Arabidopsis thaliana: one gene and its partner. The protein of the gene in region 1 interacts with the protein of each later gene in a biochemical or structural test. Each region holds a gene or a part of one and is shown in the gene's direction. Other genes may lie near its edges. The genes, in order: RAD23B and RPN10.

Region 1 (12,106 bases):
AAAATAGAACTTCCAAATTCCAACGAGACGGCTCAATAATTTCTAAAATAGAACTTTCATACATAAAAGTCATTAGAGAAAAAAAAAATGAAGAGAAGGAGACTTTTTTTCTCTGTTCTACTCTCTATCCTAACTCTGTTCATCAATGGTCCTTTGATAACGACAGCTCAATCTCCACCTTCTTCTTCAACTTCATGTAACCGTATCTGTGGAGGAATCGAGATTCCTTTTCCTTTTGGAATCGGACGAAGAGACTGTTTTCTCAACGACTGGTACGAGGTTGTCTGTAACAGCACCACCTCCGGTAAATCCTTAGCTCCGTTCCTCTATAAGATCAACAGAGAATTAGTTAGCATCACTCTTCGAAGCAGCATCGACAGTTCCTACGGAGTTGTTCACATTAAATCTCCGGTGACTTCCTCCGGCTGTTCTCAACGACCCGTAAAGCCTCTTCCTTTAAACCTCACCGGTAAAGGAAGTCCCTTTTTCATCACCGACTCGAATCGTCTCGTCTCAGTTGGTTGTGACAACAGAGCATTGATTACAGACATCGAATCTCAGATCACAGGATGCGAATCGAGCTGCGACGGAGATAAGAGTCGTTTAGACAAGATCTGCGGTGGTTACACATGTTGTCAGGCGAAGATTCCGGCGGATAGACCGCAAGTAATCGGCGTTGACCTTGAAAGCTCCGGTGGTAACACAACTCAAGGAGGAAACTGTAAAGTTGCTTTCTTGACGAATGAGACTTACTCTCCGGCGAATGTTACAGAGCCGGAACAATTTTATACTAATGGGTTTACGGTGATTGAGCTTGGTTGGTACTTTGATACATCAGATTCTCGGTTAACGAATCCTGTGGGTTGTGTGAATTTGACGGAAACAGGGATTTACACGAGCGCACCGAGCTGTGTTTGTGAGTATGGTAACTTCTCTGGCTTTGGTTACAGTAACTGTTACTGCAATCAGATTGGTTACAGAGGGAATCCTTATCTTCCTGGTGGATGCATTGGTAAGATTTATGTGTTTCTTCGTCTATTTGGCTTCAATGGGGTTTTAATTAAGTGATTACGGATGTGTTGATTCAGCCTTTTTTGTTCATTTTGTTTTTAAGACATTGACGAATGTGAGGAAGGAAAAGGACTAAGCAGCTGTGGAGAACTAACTTGTGTGAATGTTCCTGGATCGTGGAGGTGCGAGCTGAATGGAGTAGGGAAGATCAAGCCTCTGTTTCCAGGTGAATCAATGGAGTTCTTTTCCAGATTCCAAAGTCATATCACAGAGCAAAAAAGAGTGATGATCTTTATAGTTTTCTTTCGTCCTTGTGCAGGTCTTGTTCTAGGTTTTCCACTGTTGTTCTTGGTACTTGGGATATGGGGATTGATCAAGTTCGTTAAGAAGAGAAGGAAGATTATCCGAAAGAGAATGTTCTTTAAACGTAATGGAGGCTTGTTGTTGAAACAACAGTTAACTACAAGAGGAGGTAATGTGCAGTCATCGAAGATATTCAGTTCGAAAGAGCTGGAGAAAGCGACGGATAACTTCAATATGAACAGGGTTCTTGGGCAAGGAGGTCAAGGCACTGTCTACAAAGGAATGTTGGTAGATGGGCGAATTGTTGCTGTGAAAAGATCTAAAGTTTTAGATGAAGATAAAGTTGAGGAGTTTATCAATGAAGTTGGTGTTCTCTCGCAGATTAACCATAGAAATATTGTCAAACTCATGGGGTGTTGTCTCGAGACAGAGGTTCCTATCTTGGTTTATGAACATATTCCAAATGGAGACCTATTCAAGCGGCTTCACCATGATTCTGATGATTACACTATGACTTGGGATGTGCGATTGCGCATCTCTGTTGAGATTGCAGGAGCACTTGCTTACTTGCACTCGGCTGCATCAACTCCGGTCTATCATAGAGATGTCAAGACCACAAACATACTTTTGGATGAGAAGTATAGAGCCAAGGTATCGGATTTCGGGACCTCGAGATCCATAAACGTAGATCAAACTCACTTGACTACTCTAGTTGCAGGTACTTTTGGATACTTGGATCCAGAGTACTTTCAAACTAGCCAGTTTACGGATAAAAGTGATGTTTATAGTTTTGGGGTCGTCTTGGTTGAGCTCATAACTGGAGAAAAGCCGTTTTCTGTAATGCGGCCCGAAGAAAACAGAGGACTTGTGTCTCATTTCAATGAGGCTATGAAACAGAACAGAGTTCTTGATATTGTTGATTCTCGGATCAAAGAAGGTTGCACGTTGGAACAAGTGTTGGCTGTGGCGAAACTTGCCAGAAGGTGTTTAAGTCTAAAAGGGAAGAAACGACCAAATATGAGAGAGGTTTCAGTTGAGCTTGAGAGGATCCGTTCATCACCCGAAGATTTGGAGTTACATATTGAAGAGGAGGACGAAGAAGAATGCGCCATGGAAATCAACATGGATGATTCTTGGAGCGTCGACATGACTGCTCCAGCTTCCCTCTTTGATTTATCGCCCAAGTTAGACGTTGAACCGCTGGTTCCTCAACGAACATGGTGATGATGGAACCTAAAACACTGCAAATGTACAAAGTGCTGTGATAACAAATTCTCTCAATGTTCCATTCTTTATTAATAAAAAATTTGATGATGTCAAAGAAAAAAACTTGTATTCTCCAAAACTTTTAGCATATATATTCGATTACAGAAGATTCATATTTGTACAATAACTGTGAATCTTGGGACATAATCAAAGTAGAATAAGGTACGTGTAGATTCTGATGGGTTTACAAGCCATTCTTTAGGCGATTACACACACATTTCAACAGAGAGACAAATGTTTATATAATGCAATCAGCTTAGGCTGACACTCTAGAAGAATTTCAGTTTTCCGTTGGAGAAACTGGCTTGGATGTGTTCCATTTGACACATTGCCTTGTCTTTTCCAGTCATCCCTGAGCACAACAAGTGCCTAGCGCCTAGTGTGACGGCAAAGTAGATATAAATGGTGCAGAGGAATGCCAAAAGAAGCATAGCAGTCAAAAGGAAACGATGCCTCTGGACAACAGTAGAGCAGCTACCCAAGTCATCCCATTGCTTCTTAAGAGCATGTGGCCTCCGTAATGGTGATGATACAATCCCATCAAGAACCATATCTTCTAAAAGACCAACCTTTCCAGCTTAACACCAACCTGAAAAATGACACACAAGTTTTGAGTTCATAAACCAAAAGCTTCTTCAAAAAATAAAATTGCAGATACGAGATAAACAATGGGATGTAAAACATGTAACATTGCCAAATTTCAAAACAAACGATTTGTCGACGAATTTTAAGACGAGATTAATCTTTCATGTGGGATTATAAACAAGCTTAGTAAATCTGGATCATCCATTTTATTCGAAACTAAAACGAATTAGACGATCCAACAGAAGAAAACTCAAAACATGACGCAAAATAAATAAAAAGAAACGGATCGAATCAGGAAAAGAGATAACGAACCTTCGGGTGAGAGAGAAAGAGCTGCTAAAAGAAACGATTAGGGAGAAGAAGAAAGAATAGCTGATTCCAGCTCCGTCGACCAAATAAAATCTTCTTCGTGCAGCTCCCAATAATTGCTATATCTTAGGCAGAGTCGTCAAAATTGTAGATCTCGTCTCCGGCTAGAGAGTAAAGAGCCGATTCGCCGGTAAACGCGGGTTTCTTCTCAAAAACCGGATATTTAGGAACTAAATTGATTAGAGAGAATTAAATTGCGTGTTGGGTTGGTCTGGAATTGAGTTATTTTCCACTTACTTACTTTGTGTGACCTTTTTATAAATGTCCCATGTGGGGTTGTTATTATTCTAGCTGGCTTTTAAGTCCTCGACCGACATTACATGACTCTCTATTGATTTAAATGTCAAAGTATATCCTTAGAAAATTGATTGCTAAATACCGACAACAAAACTTAATTATTATTACTCATACTAACCAGAACTGTTTTGTGTTAGTCTAATTTAATGTCATTTAAAGGGCGTAGCCCACTAACATAGGGCCTTACTGGGCTATTAATATTTCTTTGGTGCATGTAGAATTGTGACCAGCTGGGCCGAATTGGAGATGCATGTGTCACGTGGATTGCACATGGCGATCTCTTGCCGCGTTTGAAATCCAAAACGCTCTGTTGCTAGAGAGAGAGACTGTTTTAGCTACGGTCAGCTTTTCTCTAGCGTCGGGGCCTCGATCTCTTGATTTGAGCTTTTCTTAGGTCTGTCTCTCTCTGTACACTCTCTCCGCCGTCGTATCTCGCCGTCGATTTCAATTTTTCCGACGATATGAAGCTCACCGTTAAAACTCTCAAGGGCAGTCATTTTGAAATTAGGGTTTTACCCTCCGATACGGTTAGTTCTACTTTCTTCGTCCATGCGTTTACGTAATTTTCGCCTAGTATAGTAGAGAGAAGTAGGAATCTCACATAGAAGAGACTCAGATCCACAATTTTGAATGTTTGGTGATCAAATTTTTTTATTCTATAAGTGTTTAATAGCTTTATTAACTGCTAAAATTATGACTCGCGAATCCAATCTGGTTTGGTCAAGTTGATTATGTTAGTCTTCAAATCATTAAATCTGGGCATGATGTGCTTGTTTTTAAGATAATGGCGGTGAAGAAGAATATAGAAGATTCACAAGGAAAAGACAATTATCCATGTGGGCAGCAATTGTTGATTCACAATGGAAAAGTTTTGAAAGATGAAACTAGCCTGGTGGAGAACAAAGTTACGGAGGAAGGATTTCTCGTCGTTATGCTTAGCAAGGTAACAGTTCAAATCTGGCTACTGCAAAGATCATACTTCTTTTATCTTCAACAAATCAGTCTTCTTATTTACCTTAAACAAGGATAAAAGCTGATGAATAAGTGTCTTTAGGCATATGTTCCTAGATGTCTCTTTCATGATTGTTTCCTACCTATGAAACATCATTTATCTTGTAATGGCACTGACATTGTCTTTTCCTTTGGTTATTGATGAATTGTAGAGCAAATCTGGAGGTTCAGCTGGTCAGGCTTCGGTTCAGGTAATTTATTTATTTCTCATATTTTCACATCATTGGCTTATTCTGATGATTCTTAGTGTGTCAGACTTCTTCTGTTTCACAGCCTGTTTCCGCTACCACATCTTCGACTAAGGTAACTTTCTTGCATATATTTTATTTGTTGAAATATGCGATGAGCAGCTTGTTATACTGGTTGTTTTAATACAAACACGTCTTGGAAAACCAGCCTGCAGCTCCATCTACAACCCAGTCTTCACCTGTTCCTGCTTCACCTATTCCTGCTCAAGAACAACCGGCGTAAGTTTATAATTGGAAAATGAGATTATTTAGAGCTCTTTTCTCTCTACCTCTCTCTCTCTCTTTCTAGTGTCTATGCTTTCGTCTTTTCTTTTGCAGGGCTTGCCTTTTGCCCCTTATATGGTTTTCCAAAAGTTTCCATGTTTGACCTCTAGTATAAGTTTTATAACTTAGTTGTTGTGGATTCATTAATACATTATAGTCTCCACAATTGAATGGTGTGGCAGGGCACAGACTGACACCTATGGACAAGCTGCGTCAACATTAGTTAGTGGTAGTAGTCTTGAGCAAATGGTCCAACAGATAATGGAAATGGGAGGTGGAAGTTGGGACAAAGAAACAGTTACTCGTGCACTTCGTGCAGCTTATAACAACCCTGAGAGAGCAGTGGATTATTTGTACTCTGTATGGGCTCTCTCTGTAACATTATTCGCTAAAGGTTCAAAGGATGAAATTATTGACAATTTTTTTCTTATATTAGGGAATTCCTCAAACTGCTGAAGTAGCTGTGCCAGTACCTGAGGCTCAGATTGCAGGATCCGGTGCAGCCCCTGTTGCACCTGCATCTGGAGGACCTAACTCATCTCCTTTGGATTTATTTCCTCAGGTACTTTTGTATTAATTGTGTATCCAATAGAATTGAAAGGTATATTTAGTTACCATCTCACTCTGTGGCTTAATTTCCCCAGGAAACAGTTGCTGCTGCTGGCTCTGGAGATCTTGGGACACTTGAATTTCTTAGAAACAATGACCAGGTTGCTATTCTAACTATATCTGCATTTTCCCTAAATTGCGAAGTTCTTATCTTTTAACTATTTGGATCTCTCCTCATCATTCTTGACCGATTGTGAATATGAAAAGGCATCTAGATTGGTTAGAACCACATTTGATCAACTTATGTGGAGATTGTTTGTCTGGTATAGCCATTCTATCAAGGGATGATTAACCGAGATGATATTAACATGCTTTGACTGTTCGTTCTAACTTTTGTAAATTTACTCCATATACTCATTCTCTTGTATTTGCTATTACATTAGTTCCAACAATTACGCACCATGGTCCATTCCAACCCTCAAATTCTTCAGGTAAGACTCGTCTAGTTTTCGTTATCCTGGTCCAGTAGTTTGTAAGACTTCTCACTGATTCCGAACCTCTTATGTTGGAACAACTGCTTTTGTTACCAGCCCATGCTTCAGGAACTTGGAAAGCAAAACCCTCAACTTCTGAGGCTAATTCAAGAAAACCAGGCAGAGTTTCTTCAGTTAGTAAATGAGCCCTATGAGGGTTCTGACGGGTGAGTCCTCCAATCTGTTTATTGTAATCTAAGGTTCTGTCAGATGTAATTATATGCTTCTTATTGATATTTCATTAAACTAAATAATTTGATTCACAAAGTTTAAAAACATAACTCATCAGGGAGGGGGACATGTTCGATCAACCCGAGCAAGAAATGCCACATGCCATTAACGTTACCCCAGCAGAACAAGAAGCGATTCAACGGGTAAAACACCATTAATAGTAACACTCTGTTTCCACACTTTTTTCTTTGCAACCCTTATTAACTATATCCCTGGCCTCTGGCCTATCTAACAGCTCGAGGCAATGGGATTTGATAGAGCCTTAGTAATAGAAGCGTTCCTCGCATGTGACCGAAATGAAGAATTGGCAGCTAACTATCTATTGGAGAACTCAGGTGACTTTGAAGACTGAGTTCACAAAACGTTATCTCTTCTTCGAAAAAGTTTTGGCTCTTTTCTTACGTTGAATTACATATCTTCCGTGAATTAATGTGTGGGATTTGATCTCTCTCTCTCTGTGACTTAGTTTGTCCTTTTTTTGTTTTGAATATTATTTTCTCCGTTTGCGATGGGGGCGGTTGTTACGTTTGTGATAGATATTGAAGCAGAGAGATACAAAAGTGTGATCACATAATTCTCGAGGGATAAACATAAAGTGTAATCGATAGATATTTATCCTAACCAACATGTTCCTATGTTGTTGTGATTAATTGCCAAAACACGGATTTTCCGGTGATAAGTAAGATACACTAGGTGGAGACCGGTTTTATTTGGTTCAGGAAAACCGATGGCTTCTCTGGTATTAGCCCAAATCCCGAATTTCTCAATTTCGTTACCAGAAATGAAGTGTTGTGCTGATATCATACATTTTGGGTTAATTAGGTAGCGTCTCCGGTTTCATCTGGTTTCTACCGGTTGGTTTGGTGCAAATTCAGAAATTTGATTGATAAATTACGATTTTGAATTTTCTTGCATTGGTAAAGCTCATAAACCGGAATCGGTTATTTCACCAGAAAATTAATCAAATTGATTAAGTGTTCCTTATCCATTCTAGGTTAAACAATTAATGAGACGTAGACGGTCAGTTTTTTTTTTTAACAAAAGAAAATAAATAGCAATAAAAAAAGGAAATTTGAAGGGAGAAAAGGGCAAAAAAGCAGAAAGAGACCTAAAGTGGCGGGATTCCAAATTTAACAGAGCCCAAAAAGCTTCTCCCCATTTGAGCGGCGATCCGATTGTGACTCTCTCTTTCTCATTCTCTCTCGTTTTTTCTCGTTTTCTTTCTCCAGAAAATTTTGATAGAAAGTAGACAAAAAAACTTAATAAGAAGATCATCATCATCATCATCGTTCAATATCTTCATCAGCACGATATCTGTCTCTTTCCTTTTCTCTCACTCTTCTCATTAATTTGTTTCTTGATTATTTTACATGGGTGTCGTAATTTTCCCGGTACTAATATTGTTTTTAATTTCGCTTCCCACCGTTACGCGAATAGTTATTGCGACGAGATTTAGGTTTTTTATGAATCTTATTTGTTTCCCTTTTTTTTTTTGAATTTATTCTGTAGATTTACTCCACTGTAACCAGCTGCGTTTTTGTTTCCGCCTCTCAATTCCAGGTAATCTTTGATTCTCCCCTAATTTTGTTGCTGAAGAGATTTGGAATTTGAAACAAGATATTGAGTTTTCTGAATTGTGGTTTCAGTGAAACCAAAGGATCTAGACAATGGAGAAGAAGAAGTATCCAATTGGACCAGAGCATTATACTCTCTACGAGTTTATTGGACAAGGTGTTAGTGCTCTAGTGCATCGTGCTTTGTGCATTCCGTTTGATGAAGTCGTTGCTATTAAGATTCTTGATTTTGAACGCGATAACTGCGATCTGGTGATTATATATATTCTCTTGTTCTCTGACTCTGAATCTGGATTTTTTTTTGTGTTTTTGTAATTTGCATTGTATCTAAAGTGATTACGTTTTTTTTATTGATTTGGGGGCAGAACAACATCTCTCGTGAAGCGCAGACGATGATGCTTGTTGATCATCCCAATGTGTTGAAGTCACATTGTTCCTTTGTTAGTGATCACAATTTGTGGGTCATCATGCCATACATGTCTGGTGGTTCTTGTCTTCACATTCTAAAAGCTGCATATCCTGATGGTTTTGAAGAAGCTATTATAGCTACTATATTGCGTGAAGCTTTGAAGGGATTAGACTATCTCCATCAGCATGGCCACATTCATCGCGATGTCAAAGTCAGTTATTCCACCTGTCTGGATTTCACTTCACTTGGCAATTCTTTTAGCTCATCTTACTTTGTAATCTTGTGGTTTTGAATTGTGTTTATCATCAAATGACTCTGTCAACTTTACACGTTGTGACTATATCTTTATGTTTTCATTTCAGGCTGGGAATATATTGCTTGGTGCTCGAGGTGCAGTCAAGTTGGGAGACTTTGGTGTATCTGCCTGTCTCTTTGATTCAGGTGATAGGCAACGGACAAGGAACACATTTGTTGGAACACCTTGCTGGTAAGTACCCACGCTAGTTGCTAACTACTGCCCCCAATACCTTCTTATATTTTTTTTGTGTGGAGGACATTAACAGTGTTTGAGGTTAGTTCTCATGTGCATGACCTACTACTATTTCTTCTTGTCACAGGATGGCACCTGAAGTCATGGAGCAGCTACATGGTTATGACTTCAAGTTAGTTTAGCCTTATACAAAGTTATATCATTCTATTTATTCGCTTATTGGATGAATATATAGTATATCTTATTTGGAGCATCTCCTTCAGGGCTGATATTTGGTCGTTTGGTATAACTGGGCTAGAGCTTGCTCATGGTCACGCTCCTTTCTCTAAATATCCACCAATGAAGGTTCATAGCCTGTGATACCTGGATTTCATCTCCAAAAGTTTTGCTTCTATCTAAACCAAATATGTTTTCAGGTTCTGCTTATGACGTTGCAAAATGCACCACCAGGGCTGGATTACGAAAGAGATAAGAAGTTTTCCAGGGTATATTCTCGGTTTTAAAACTATATATTATGGTCAGAATGTTTGGCTATTGTCATCTCAATTTTGCCTTTCTTCCTGGTATTTTCAGTCTTTCAAGCAGATGATCGCCAGTTGTCTAGTTAAAGACCCTTCCAAACGCCCGTCTGCAAAAAAGTTGTTAAAGCACTCCTTTTTCAAGCAAGCAAGATCAAGCGATTACATTGCACGAAAACTTCTGGATGGGTTACCAGATCTTGTTAATCGTGTTCAGGCAATAAAGGTTAGATATGTAGATCTAAGTAGATAGCCAGTAGCTATAATGTTGAATATTATCAATCAGCATCTCATGGGGAAATCTGATGGGAATATTCTTTCTGCATGCAGAGAAAGGAAGAAGATATGCTTGCACAAGAGAAAATGGCAGATGGAGAAAAGGAAGAATTGTCCCAGGTTTGTGTTTCCAGTTTCCACTTTTAGCTTTATTTATCTTTGTTTTGAGTCTCTAGCTTTTGGTTTTTAGTTTAACTTGTTCTGCAAAGTATTTAGCCTTTAAACGCTTGTCATAGTACCATGCAGAATGAATATAAGAGAGGTATCAGCGGGTGGAATTTCAATCTTGATGATATGAAAGCCCAGGCTTCATTGGTATGTTTTGTCTCTTCTGACCCATAAAAGGTAGTCAACTGTAAAGCTCACAGTGCTTCATATTATGATGCTCTTATTTCCATCAGATCCAGGACATGGACTGTGGCTTTTCGGACAGTTTATCGGGAAGTGCAACTTCGTTGCAGGCTCTAGATTCACAGGATACACAATCGGAGATTCAGGTGTCCTCTTGTAGAATCTTTCTCAACTTCTAGAGAACATGTTTCTAGATGTTCTGGAAATTTCCAGTATCAGAAATGCTTCCTTGTTTTCATCTTCGTTTGTTATTTAGTCGAGGTTTAAATTCTTTGTAACCATCTCTGCAGGAGGATACTGGTCAAATAACTAATAAGTATCTCCAACCTCTGATTCACCGAAGTCTAAGTATCGCGAGGTTGATCTCCTAATTTTAAACTCTGTGATTGTCTATTTGGAATTTTCATATCGTTATGTACTTATCTGGAACTGCTACAGATGAATAAACTGAGCAACTAATATTTTGGTTGGTCAGGGATAAATCTGATGATGATTCAAGTCTTGCCAGCCCCAGTTATGATAGCTACGTATATTCCTCCCCCCGTCATGAGGATTTATCTTTAAACAATACACATGTTGGTAGTACGCATGCAAACAATGGGAAACCAACGGATGCCACATCAATCCCAACCAATCAACCAACAGAGATTATAGCAGGGAGCTCTGTTTTGGCAGATGGAAATGGTGCTCCCAATAAAGGAGAGAGGTTAGTCCTTTAAGCACGGTTATTTTAAGAGCCTTTTTTTGGTTCAGATTTCCAGTATTATTATTTAACCAATACCTGCCTCTTGAAGTCTTTAAAAACTTGAAGTAAAAAAAGAACTCTAGACTCAAAATTGACTTCAAAGCTCGTATTCACTGACTATACATATACTCTACATGCGACATTGAATTTTAAATCAACCTGTGGATTTCCCAGTGATAAAACTCAAGAACAGCTTCAAAACGGGTCAAACTGCAATGGGACACATCCTACAGTGGGAGGAGATGACGTACCAACGGAGATGGCTGTTAAACCACCCAAAGCAGCATGTAAGCATTTACAGAAATTTCTTTATACTTGAAATCCATTCTAAACATCCATGTGGATCAATGCATTTCTGATTAAATAAATTTGTCCCGGTATCAGCAAGCCTAGATGAATCTGATGACAAATCAAAGCCGCCAGTTGTGCAGCAAAGAGGGCGTTTTAAAGTAACTTCTGAAAATCTCGACATCGAGAAGGTAACTTTTTTTTTTTTTTTTTTGGTTTTAAGAGGAAAAAAGAGCTTTCTTGTATCAATCACGTTTGTGAGGTTTTCCTTTGTATTCGCTATCTCTTTATCAGGTGGTGGCGCCTTCGCCAATACTGCAAAAGAGTCACAGCATGCAGGTTTGTAATTGTTTTGAGTTCAACTTGATCAGCTGCAGACGAACAATCAAATGTGTTTTACCACAACTATTCATCTCAAGTTTTCTTAATGAAAACAAATAATATTTTTACTTGCGGTTATGTAGGTGCTCTGCCAACATTCCTCTGCTTCTCTACCTCACTCTGATGTCACATTGCCAAACCTAACCAGCTCATATGTTTACCCGCTGGTGTATCCAGTTCTGCAAACTAATATTTTGGAAAGGGTATGGCTTTTGCTTCTTAGACGCTACTTCCTTTCTTTATATATCTCATAACAATATGAAAGTTCATTGCATAATTGAAATTGTCCCTTAAACAGGATAACATTTTGCATATGATGAAAGTACTCACCAACAGAGAGTTGACAGGTTTATTTCGTGCAACTTCACTCCTTTTCCATCTCAATTTTCCCTTTTGATTACATTTTT
Region 2 (11,648 bases), on another chromosome or scaffold:
GGATAGTTTTGGAGATGGCAGATCCAATGGAGAAGTCTTTAGAGATCTGCTCTACTGTCACCTCTGCTCCTTCAACGCTCTCTCCGTTTTCTTTTGACACGTGAATTGTCACTGCTCGTTTTCTCGCCTGAAAATAAGTGTTAAGGAGGAACCACATAAAGAATGTAGTTTGCGATTTTAACGTTAGAAATTAGTGTGTGTATTACGGTATTTATGAAGTAATCTTGGTTGTTCCTCCATTGCTCCTGCGTGAATGGCTGAAGAGAGGCACTCGTCACTTGTAATTGGATCTTACCATCGTCCTCTGATGTCTGCATTATCAGAAAATTTACAGTCTTTGGGATCATCTAAGCTAATGAGATACTTTTGAGCATATATAGAATCTACCTCAAAGAAGAGGATGGATTGTTTACAAGGAGAATCAAGAAGGAATCCTCCTTTGAGGAAAGACCAGCAACCATGTTTGGCAGTTACAGAACCGACGCAGTTTAATGTGGCGTTGTCTGCTCTCAGCCTTGCTCTTACATGAGCTGATGCAGCACCAGCCTCTATCTTCACCCATACTGTGTCCATCAGTCAGATCATCACATTCATTTCATCTGTTAACGAATATATAACATTCTAGAGATGAAAGCATGAAATGCTTAACTGGAGAAGCAATAGATGGTGTTCTGTGTGAGATTGTGCAATATGTAAGTTGGTGTGTAATGAGCACCAATGCCTGTGAGAGAGTCTTTGCCTGGGACGGAAGGCTTTTGGTCCTTCAGCATTCCTCCATTGTATAGTGGCTTCTCTGCTTCGGCTCTACACTGTTGCATTTCACATACCACATAATGTATATATACTTTCTATCTATGCGCAATTACATATCTTGTGAAATTGAATTAATAGCTCAAAGCTTTAAAAACCTCTGTGTAGGCAGTAGAGTCGTAGAAAGGTCCATCTATACCTGAAGAGTAAAAACATCATATATCAAGCTAAAATTCTGTATACATGTATGTTATATACTATGGTATGCTATAATATACTTGTGTGTACCATTTGACGAAGAAGCAAGAGTGAAGGCGGTGAGGAGAGAAAGGGCCAAGAGGATCAAACAACACATCGACGAACATTTCATATTCAAAACAAGAACACAAAATCCTGCGATAGGAAAAGAAAAAAAGAGAGAAATCAAGGGGATGAAACCAAGTGCCTTGATGCGGTTGGATAGGTGGTTAGGCCATTCTCTATTTGGGAGAGTTTCATTCAGAGAGGGAACAATATGTCAGAAACACTGAACCTATTGAGTGAGTTCACGTGATGATGTTGTTATATGCGAAGTGGTTTTTTTTGTCATGTGAAGTTGTGCTTTTATATAGATACTAGCCTATTAGAGTACCACGGGTTGATGCATGCTTTGGTTACAAGTTTCTTACCTAAATCTTACCATTTGCTTGTTTTGTGTTTGTGTGTGTGTGCGTGCAAAAAACTCTCACGCCTGCAAAATGCAAACTCACGCTACGATCCAGATTTGTTTTCTATAGGAGATGGATATATCTGATAATAAAAATATTGAATATAGTTTTTTACTTTATTATAAAATATATAATTAAAAGTTAGAGATTTTGAATTAACATATTTAGTTTGATTCGAAATTTAAATTTACAAGATTTTGTACTAATGTTTTTAATTTCTTATTTTATAGAACTCAAATATTTGGAAAACAATACAAAAGGAACCAATTACCATAACTAAAGAACCACCAAAATTTTAAAAATTAATTTTGTTAGTTGATACAAAGGGAAACCAATATTGTCGTCTATGCATTTTTAGATTACGTTGTTGTCAACATTTGGATATAAATTTGTACGAATTTAGCTAAATTTCATATCTTTAAAGTTTAAACTCTCAAAAGATTTCAAAGATTTAGCTTTACAAGTGACAATTGGGCCCAAGTTAACAAACGTATCTGCCCTTGTGATGCAGTCACACGCTCCTTAGGAGTTAGGACTATTACTCTTGCATGCGATGATTTGGGCTTTAATACGGCTAGTTGGGCTTTGAGAATTCTCTTATCAGACTTTCTTCGAAGCCCGTCTCAATGTCTTCGTGAATTTTTCTTTTAATACTGGTAAAAGAAACTATACTAATATTTTAATGCACATGAAGATAATAATACTCCTTTGGACGGTATAATACCTGTATACGTGACTAATCAACGAATTAAATTTGAGCATTGTGGTGGCGAGATCTTGGATCATCTTCGCTTGGCCGCTTGGGCGGTGGTCGTCGGCATCGTCACTAATTAATTATTGTGATTAAGAAAAAATGCTAAATTGAGTTTCGTCGTCTTCTGCTTCTGCTTAAGCTTCTTCATCATTTAGCTCCAGAGGCGGAGCTTTCTTCTCTCTCTGTGGACGACCATGGCGGCGGACGACGGCGACCCCACTAAATTCGCTGCAATCTACGACTCATCCTCTCCGTCACACCCTCTTCTCTCTAAACCCTCCACGTCCGCTCTCGATTCTCCGCGTCGAAGTGATCCCGAATCCGACCCAACTCAGTTTCTTCAGATCTCCTACAATTTTGGCCCAAGAACTTTCAAGGACATCCCTTTCCTACTTCTCTTCGATCTTCTCGTACTCTCCACCTTTGGTTTTGGAATCTTCTCCATTTTTCATAGAAATAACGATTACGGGAACTCCTCTTCCTTCACCTACGATTTCACCTCTAGCTCCTGCGTCAAAAATTCTACCTTTACGAAAATTTCGGATGGGTACTACTGGGCTTCTTCGAGTGTCATGTACGGCATGGTTTCTTCGTCTGATCCAGTCTTTGAGAAGGATTTGATCTGGACACTTGTTGTAACGCTTATTTTAAGCGTGCCCTTCTGTTTTAGCGTCCTGCTTTTGCTCAAACACTACACTAAGCAGATTGTTTATGCTTGTTTACCTCTCTTTGTCCTTTTTCCCATCTTTTTCAATGTCTATTGGTTTGTCGCCTGTACTCTTAGCTCTTCTTGTAGCGATGCCCTCCCTCTAGCTTACAGAATACTTGTCCTAGTCTTTGTTTTCTTGATCATCGGGATCATTGTCTGGATCATAGTAGCTAATTGGCACAGAATTGATCTTACTATCCAAATCATCAGTGTTGCATCTGATGCCTTGTCCAAAAATTTGAAACTTTTTGTTGTGCTGCCGCTGCTGACTCTCGGGTTAGTGGTGTACTATGCGCCGATTGTGGTGTTCTTGGTGTTTGCAAGGTTTAATGGGAAGTTTGTGCCGCGAGAGTTGGATGGTCAGTACTTTTGTGAGTGGAAAGAAGATTCTTGGGTTCCTGCGTATTACGCTCTTGCCATTTTAACGATGATCTGGTCTCTTGCTGTAATGGTGGAAATGCAAGTGTATGTGATAAGTGGAGCTATTGCTCAGTGGTATTTCTCCAAGGAAGACTCAATCCCTAAAAAATGCATCCGGAGTTCTTTGAGGTGACTCGCTGCCACATCTTTCTCTATTTTATTCTTGTTATCAATGAATTTGCTGTGCAGTTTCTCTTACAATCAATGGTGCTCTTAGTTCTAATATATGTTTTGTGTGATCGCGGGAGTTTTTGCTTTGAGTTCTCTTAGTTTTGTTTCCTCATAAAATATAATCTATGGTCATTCGAAGTATCCCTTGCTTGGCTTCGTTCTGGAGTATTCAGTGATTCTAGGTCATGGTATTCATAGTCTTGGCCTTATAGATTGGATATTGTATTGGAATCCATCATCTGAACTTGTTTGGTACTTTAAATGTGAAAAGAGACAACAGACAGTGGTATTTTTGAAAGGAGATTATAGCTTTGAGGATCCAAATTTGCATTAGTCTTCAAATCTGTTGTTGGTTTATGTCAAAGCATGTGTGAATCTTATTATTTTTTGTATCTGTCTCTTCAGGAATGCATTTGGTCAATCCTTTGGTACGATATGTGTATCAGGACTTCTCATATGCATTGTTCGTGTGGTCCGGGCAATTGTGGACAATGCAAGAGAAGAGAACACACAAGGAATAGTGAACATGGTTCTCCGTTGCTGTGCAAACGCCTTACTTGGTGCCCTTGACTATCTCAACAAGTTCACCATCAACTTTGCTGCAATAACAGGGGAAGCGTATTGCACCTCTGCGAAAATGACTTACGAGCTGTTAAGACGCAACCTACTGTCAGCTGTATTTGTCGAAACGGTTTCCACCAGAATCCTAACCGGAATAGTCTTTGTCCTGTCAGCCGCATATGCAGTCGCGGTAAGTATTATCTTCTGCTTGTCTCACCAACCAAGCATTTAATAATTGCCATAATGACTAATTCCGGGGTTTGATGATGCGCAAAAGCAGACATGGGCTGTTCTGAGAGGAGTGAGCAACCTGGGTATAGATTCGTACGTGGTGGCTGTACTGGCGTGGGTGTTACTGATTGTGATATTGGCTTTCTTTGTACATGTTCTTGACGATGTGATTGACACAATCTATGTCTGTTACGCGATTGATAGAGACAAAGGGGATGTATGTAAGCAGGAAGTTCACGAGGTTTATGTTCACTTGCCTATCAGCAGAAGCACAAGATCTTCTCTCATCCCAAATGCTCTTAATGCATAGCAGAAGATGATCCAACGTCTCTGCTTGTTGTATCTTTTTTTGTTTGTTAGCACCGTTGTAAATTCCTCTCTGGTGAACTGTGGTTTGTCTTCTTGGGGTTTATATTGATGTTTTGTAGAGTTATGGGGTAACAATGTTGAATAAAAGAAAGACTTTAGTTATAGGAATTACTGTAATGTGGTCTGTGTTTCTTTTATTCATTAATAAATCAACTTTGTTTTGCTTTTTATCAAAAACAACCATTGGGGCTAAATTGAAATAAACGTAAAACATTAGGGTCTAAAAGGAGAAAGTAAAAAAGTAAAGGGGATATTTAAAGAAGAACAATGTTATTATTATCGGTCTAAACTAAAATCTAAATCTTGCCTTCCTGACTTTCTCTCTACGACAGAATTTTTGAAGCTTCTCTCTGCTTATCGACACGATGGTTCTCGAGGTGATTTTCCAATTACTTGTGCTTATCTTCGTTGATGATCCACGTTGAATGCTTTTTCTCATCGATGATTTCTTGTTGTAGGCGACTATGATATGTATCGACAACTCCGAGTGGATGCGAAACGGAGATTACTCTCCGTCTAGGTTACAGGCGCAAACGGAAGCTGTTAATCTTCTTTGCGGAGCCAAAACCCAGGTAATAATTTACGTTTTTTCACTTGATTCGATTAGGGTTTTTGGGTTTGCGTGAGATTGTGATTTTTAGGGATCTTTCTTTTTTGCAATTGCAGTCGAATCCGGAGAATACGGTGGGGATTTTGACAATGGCTGGCAAAGGAGTTAGAGTATTGACTACTCCTACCTCTGATCTTGGCAAAATTCTGGCCTGTATGCACGGTATGTATCTCTCTCTCCAATCTTTCTATTTATTATTAGCTGTCTACTTAGAGCAATTAGAAAAAATCTGTTCTTTCTCTTTATCATTGAGTTTGACATCAATTTGCTACTTGCGTCATCTTTTCAGGCCTTGATGTGGGAGGAGAGATCAACTTAACCGCAGCTATCCAGATCGCCCAGCTAGCTCTTAAGCATCGCCAAAACAAGAATCAACGCCAAAGGATTATTGTTTTTGCTGGAAGGTACCGAATTGCTTTGTTTTTGCTGAGTAACTTTTGTATAGTTTTATACTGATGTTTTTCTTCTGCTTCTACTTTTTAGTCCAATCAAGTACGAGAAGAAGGCCCTAGAGATAGTTGGAAAAAGGCTGAAGAAGAATAGTGTCTCTCTTGATATTGTCAATTTCGGGGAGGATGATGATGAGGAAAAGCCTCAGAAACTCGAGGCGCTCCTTACAGCTGTGAATAACAATGACGGTAGCCACATTGTTCATGTTCCTTCTGGAGCCAATGCTCTCTCAGATGTGCTTCTCAGGTACCATCCCTTTTCTTCTTTTTTTCTAGGTTATGTAGATTGTAAAAGGAACAGTTTCAACAATATCCGGCTTGGTAGGTGCACTTCATGTGGTTTTGTGTGTTTAGGTCTTTTGAGCTCTCTAGTCTTGCTTTTTATCAATGCTGCAACAAAACATTTAGACAGTGATTTGAATCATAGATAGTGTTTTAACTTTTAAATTTTCTTCCAGCACACCTGTATTCACGGGTGATGAGGGTGCAAGTGGCTATGTTTCTGCGGCAGCTGCTGCAGCGGCCGCAGGTGGGGACTTCGACTTTGGTGTGGACCCAAATATCGATCCAGAACTTGCTCTTGCCCTTCGGGTCTCCATGGAGGAGGAGAGAGCAAGACAAGAAGCTGCTGCCAAGAAGGCGGCCGATGAGGCAGGTCAGAAAGACAAAGATGGGGACACAGCTTCCGCCTCACAGGAGACAGTTGCTAGGACAACTGACAAGAACGCTGAACCAATGGTTAGTTGTTACTTAAAATTGAGTGTAGCATTCTTATATAGTCACAGGCGGAGAGATTGTTAATCATACAACCTTTTGTGGCAGGATGAGGACAGTGCGTTGCTAGATCAGGCAATTGCTATGTCTGTTGGTGATGTGAATATGTCAGAAGCGGCTGATGAGGACCAGGATCTGGCTTTAGGTAAGTAGAACAGTGTGGTAAAAGTATATCCATGGCAATCAAAATTGGCATTTTTCTTATATTTTTTTATACTCCATGTGCAGCTCTGCAAATGTCAATGAGTGGGGAAGAGTCAAGTGAAGCTACAGGTGCTGGAAACAACCTCTTGGGAAATCAAGCCTTCATATCGTCTGTTCTCTCATCGGTAAGCCTACATAAACCTTAGTCAGTTTTTTTCACAAGCAAAATGAAAGAGAAAAGTAGTAGGGTTAGCTTTGGTACTAAGACTTTGTGTACACGCAGCTTCCTGGGGTGGATCCAAATGATCCGGCAGTTAAAGAACTACTAGCGTCTCTGCCAGACGAGTCAAAGGTGTGTCTTTGTTGATGTTTATGATTACATCTTTTTGTTATTTGAAAAAGAAGATTCTGATAAATGTATATGGTTAAAATGACAGCGTACCGAGGAGGAAGAGAGTAGTAGCAAAAAAGGCGAGGATGAGAAGAAGTGAAGAAGGATCTGAGAGTCTCAATAAAAATTCCTCTTGTTTCTTTGGTTTGATAGAGATTGGAACTGAATTTAACTAATCTCTCTGCCTTGTGAAATTTGTTTTTTTCTCTCTCTCTCGCCTTTTTATAATGTTGTTATTGTACGAGTCAAGGACTAGCTTCCTTCTTAATTTTTATTGGACTTTATGTCAATGGGCTCTTAGAAAGTAAGCCTATTTGTTACAGGTCTCTCGATCAATTCAGTAGAATAGCGAGTCCTAAATTCGTAATGAACCTTGCACAAGTGTCAAATCTGAAATATTCTTACGACAGTGCAAAAAGTCTACATTGGTAATTAAATTTTGCTCACATTTCTGCGAAGTTATGTTTTTCTCCAAGTAATTAAAGTCCCACGTGGCAGTTAGGTACTTAATTCCTTTGTTCTACTGTTGGCTCGTTTTTTTGTTCTTTGCAATCTAATTTTTATATGCGCTTATTAGTCTGCTAATTGCAATCTATTTGCATTATTTAATTTATATTTATCCCAAGATATGTGTATTTGTCTGCTAATTGCCACATGCGAGCTGTAGTTTTGATCATCTACGTACGTGTAAACTATGCTACACAAACAAATTGAATTGCTAAATATGACTATCGTTAAAGACTTTTTATTGGGGAAACTTATTAGTGACGAAATTTCTTTGTTCCCTTTTAGAGCAAGAAAGGGAAAGACAAAAAGAGTCACAAGACTCACAAACTATAACATAAAAAAAAAGAAAGAAGAAAAACTGATAGAAGCTTCTATTGCATCTACCTAACACCTTTTGAAAAAGTCGTTTCTTTACAAATGAAAATGAATAATATTAGAAAGAAGAAGGAAGAGGAGGCAGGTGCGTCTGTCTTTGTTCACTTGTGTCTGTGTGTGTGGTCATCCTTTTGTCCTTTTCCCCTTTTTCCTTATCTTCAGTTCTCACCACTCCTCCTCTCCCATCTCTTTCATTTCCAAAATATCATCCTCCTCTATCAACTTCTACATGTTTTTTTTTGTTATTCCTTCACTTTCATAATATTTACCCAACCACTGTTAAATCTCGATGTTCGAAATTAATCAAACGTTCTCAACTTTATTTTAGACTTCAACTGATTTTGTTTTTTTTTCCAACTTTAAATTTGTTTCATTAGTTGATGCAACCTGAGAAAACTCTTATTGATTCCATTATTGTTGAGTTTGTATCTTCATCAGAATATGATATATATCAAGCCCCAGTGCTAGTGACAACAACTTGTCATTTGGTGATCATATAATTTCTCAAGTGATTATACCAGTTTTTGAGATCTTACCAATTTTTGGCCAAAACAAAAAAACAAACACACAACTGGAGTATATAACCATTTGATCAATTTTAAAACTAAATCTAAATATATACGAGGAAATAATATACTGCTCTATTGGGATTTGAGATGATAATTAATGTAGTAGCTAGAGAGGGTTTTTGTAGTGTTGAGGAGAGGATATCAACGAAGGAACATGTACAACACCGATTTTACCAAGCATCTTACGATAGAACAATGTTTAAGTTTACGAGTCGCTACTCTTTCTAAATTCAACCATGTGGCTACATTCAATGAAACTCCTATACATAATTTTTATATGCATGCATGCATAAATATATTATGTGGTATATGGATATACAGTATATGTATGTTATGCATTCATGTGTAATATGTATGTATGTATGTATGTATGTATGTATGTATGCAGATGTAGATCGCTTGCAAGTGGACAAAAGATGAGGAAAGGTTGGTATATAGGTTGGTAGGGAGATGGGTAGTGAGAAATAAATAGAGTTTGGTAGAAGAAAGGGTCCATTGGTTGTTGCTTCCTTTCCTTCATTTATGGTTTTCATTATTTTCTTTTTCTTTTTCACATATCTCTTTCTTTCCTTTTTTTATCTTAAAAACATTTAAGTTTTCTCCTACCTCCTTCTCTTACAACTTTTCTATTCCTGCCAAATTAACTACAAACCTCACTTTCCACTTGTCATGAAACATTTTCGATTTATCTTCTGTTTCACGTTCTTCTCCTAGATCTTTAATTATAGATCTTAACAAGGTATCATCTATACCAGTACAATCTAAGTATTATGTGATCAAGTATCTTTGCCATACTCGTAATCTTTTTTCTCCTTATTTGGCTTATCTCCAACATTGGATAACGAGTTATTTGGGCAACCAACCTAATCTTACCTCATAAACTGATAATCTTAATCGTATACAAATTAATTACAATAGAGCTATACGATCTAATGATCTATATTTTTATCACCGATCGTCTAGATCCGGTATTTAATATTTATGCCAATGGAGTTAATTTGTAAAAGAGAAAAAAAAACAAATTCTATATATTATAATTCACCAGTTAAATTTCTCATACAAGTTGAAGATATACTTTCAAATTATCTAGGCAAAAGTTTTGTACAGTTACGCCTAAAATTTGACAATATTATTTCATCTCCAAGCTTCGAAAGCCCAAAAGAGAAGTGGTCTCTTTCTTTGCCAACCCTAAAAAATCAAATCCATTGCTCATGTCACTCCCCTTGCTGCTACCTCCGACTACATCGCATCTCATTCTTCCGCATCTGCACTCCATGCCGTTTATCATCCCTAAGCTGCACTTGAAACAACGTGGCGTTGTTGACTTTCCATGCCCTTGAAGACGATCAACATCATCAGGAAGACTGATTCTGAGCTCAAGATTCAAATCTGGGAACTTTTCTTGAACTGGGCACTCATCTTTTTCTTCTTTGAACGTAAGCATTGAGATTTTCTCTGATTTTCCCGGAAAGCTTATACTTTCATGGAACGTTTCGACCTTTGGAGCAGAAGTGAATGAGATATTAATGGTATTACTCGTAACTGGTTCTAGTTGTGTAGGTTTAGAATCTTGAGAAGCTGATGATTCTTGGATTGGTCTATGACTCGTTGGATCAATCCCTCTGTTTATAAGCTTTCTTCGTATATGCGTGTTCCAATAGTTCTTTATCTCGTTATCTGTTCTTCCCGGTAATCTCCCGGCAATAAGCGACCATCTATATATCATCAACAAAAAATAACATCATTTAGATAGATTGAAAACTCCAAGATTTTCATTTTGTATAAATTAAAACGATACTAGTTTTTTTTGTTTTTTTTTGGGTATAAACGATACTAGCTAGTTAAATAAGCCCATATTTAGAGAGTATAGTACTCACTTGTTGCCAAGAAGGCTATGGAGCTTGATGATGAGTTCGTCTTCTTCCTCGGTGAAGTTTCCACGCTTAAGGTCAGGCCGGAGATAGTTGATCCACCGGAGACGGCAGCTCTTGCCACAGCGAAGAAGTCCGGCGGCTTTGGGGAGAGATCTCCAGCAGCCTTCTCCATGAGCTTTAATGTAGGCGACGAGCCTCTCGTCCTCTTCTTTCGTCCATGCTCCTTTGTTTGTGTGAGCTTTCTCACAGCACGGTGACCTTCCCATACTTTTATGTTTACTTTCTTTCTTGTGGTTTAGATCTTATTTCGTCTCAAAATCTTATATATAGGCAGATCAATTCTACTTGTTATTTTATATTGAGGGATTGGCTTTTAGCGAGGGTTTTGGCTAAAAGGGTATAAAGGGATTAAGTTGTTTTTTTGTGTAGTGGAAGAGGATTGAAGCATTTGGTGGGGCACTTGGATTTTGGGTTTGGTTGAAGGTTCAAAGCTTTGGTGTATAGTTTATATAGGGTTTTGACTTAAAGCTAGAGAGGAATATACACACATATATATATATACACAAATGCTTCTAGATGATAGAAAAGGAGAGAGAAAGAGAGTTGAACTTATAATTGCTTCTAGATGTGAGTTGGTGGGATGGATTTGAATGAGTAGTGTATGGTGGCCTTTCGTTTTGGTACAATAAGTGAGAAGCTTGACATATATGGCATCATAGTCTTTTGATAAAGCTATGACATTTTTTTAATAATCATGACAACAAATTTAATATTTCTCACTTAAATATATATATATATATATATATGTAATCAAAGAAATTTCTCGTGTTCGTATATACATAAACCAAAATTATTTAGCTACTTCTTTAATTTTTTTTCTTTCTTTTTTTACTTTGCAACAAGTTTTATTTAGTACAAAATATAAACCAACTCTGTCAAGAAATTAATCAATACATGACAATTCGAGTATTCGACTGTGTACATTTATTGACAAATCGTCTTTTAACTTCGACCGATTTAGTACAAACAGTAATTTATTTTTATTTTTTTGGAGTCTCTTACCTATCGTATGAATTAAGTTTGTAGTAAAACTTAGGCGGGTGAAAATTAATGTAGAAAACCTAAAATTCAGTAAAACAAAAAGTTTGTGAATGGCTTTTATCGCCAGATATTATAGGTCACAAGTAAAAATTTGGGTCTAACAAAGGAAGGGGAAACTTGAATAATTTGGTAGCAATAACGAAGAGAAGATATAATGAAGTAGTGGAGGTAGGTGGTAAAGT

Evidence for each region.
Region 2: the proteins of RAD23B (region 1) and RPN10 form a complex in vitro, tested with the Arabidopsis thaliana proteins (one study listed by BioGRID).

What each region holds. Positions count from the first base shown.
Region 1 is NC_003070.9:29,967,319-29,979,424, reverse strand, and holds RAD23B (Rad23 UV excision repair protein family), read left to right. Parts: upstream 1-4,143; 5' UTR 4,144-4,292; coding exon 4,293-4,358; intron 4,359-4,612; coding exon 4,613-4,774; intron 4,775-4,994; coding exon 4,995-5,033; intron 5,034-5,097; coding exon 5,098-5,145; intron 5,146-5,238; coding exon 5,239-5,309; intron 5,310-5,379; coding exon 5,380-5,451; intron 5,452-5,536; coding exon 5,537-5,714; intron 5,715-5,790; coding exon 5,791-5,916; intron 5,917-5,998; coding exon 5,999-6,064; intron 6,065-6,346; coding exon 6,347-6,394; intron 6,395-6,493; coding exon 6,494-6,603; intron 6,604-6,725; coding exon 6,726-6,810; intron 6,811-6,902; coding exon 6,903-7,019; 3' UTR 7,020-7,317; downstream 7,318-12,106. Other genes in the region: RFO1 (Wall-associated kinase family protein), read left to right, coding at 88-1,012, 1,115-1,237, 1,331-2,538; AT1G79660 (ephrin-A3 protein), read right to left, coding at 2,850-3,131; AT1G79640 (Protein kinase superfamily protein), read left to right, coding at 8,335-8,493, 8,607-8,861, 9,013-9,137, 9,268-9,312, 9,404-9,485, 9,557-9,625, 9,714-9,884, 9,989-10,054 and 9 more. UniProt on the Arabidopsis thaliana protein: May be involved in nucleotide excision repair. Binds and presumably selects ubiquitin-conjugates for destruction. Prefers multiubiquitin chains rather than single ubiquitins, with a binding affinity for 'Lys-48'-linked ubiquitin chains.
Region 2 is NC_003075.7:18,052,849-18,064,496, reverse strand, and holds RPN10 (regulatory particle non-ATPase 10), read left to right. Parts: upstream 1-4,898; 5' UTR 4,899-5,037; coding exon 5,038-5,049; intron 5,050-5,130; coding exon 5,131-5,244; intron 5,245-5,338; coding exon 5,339-5,444; intron 5,445-5,571; coding exon 5,572-5,686; intron 5,687-5,765; coding exon 5,766-5,978; intron 5,979-6,189; coding exon 6,190-6,469; intron 6,470-6,553; coding exon 6,554-6,650; intron 6,651-6,733; coding exon 6,734-6,834; intron 6,835-6,932; coding exon 6,933-7,001; intron 7,002-7,086; coding exon 7,087-7,140; 3' UTR 7,141-7,509; downstream 7,510-11,648. Other genes in the region: AT4G38650 (Glycosyl hydrolase family 10 protein), read right to left, coding at 1-127, 207-311, 388-563, 650-809, 909-949, 1,039-1,120; AT4G38640 (Plasma-membrane choline transporter family protein), read left to right, coding at 2,406-3,469, 3,917-4,262, 4,353-4,613; MYB4 (myb domain protein 4), read right to left, coding at 9,621-10,206, 10,369-10,631. UniProt on the Arabidopsis thaliana protein: Plays a role in maintaining the structural integrity of the 19S regulatory particle (RP), subcomplex of the 26S proteasome.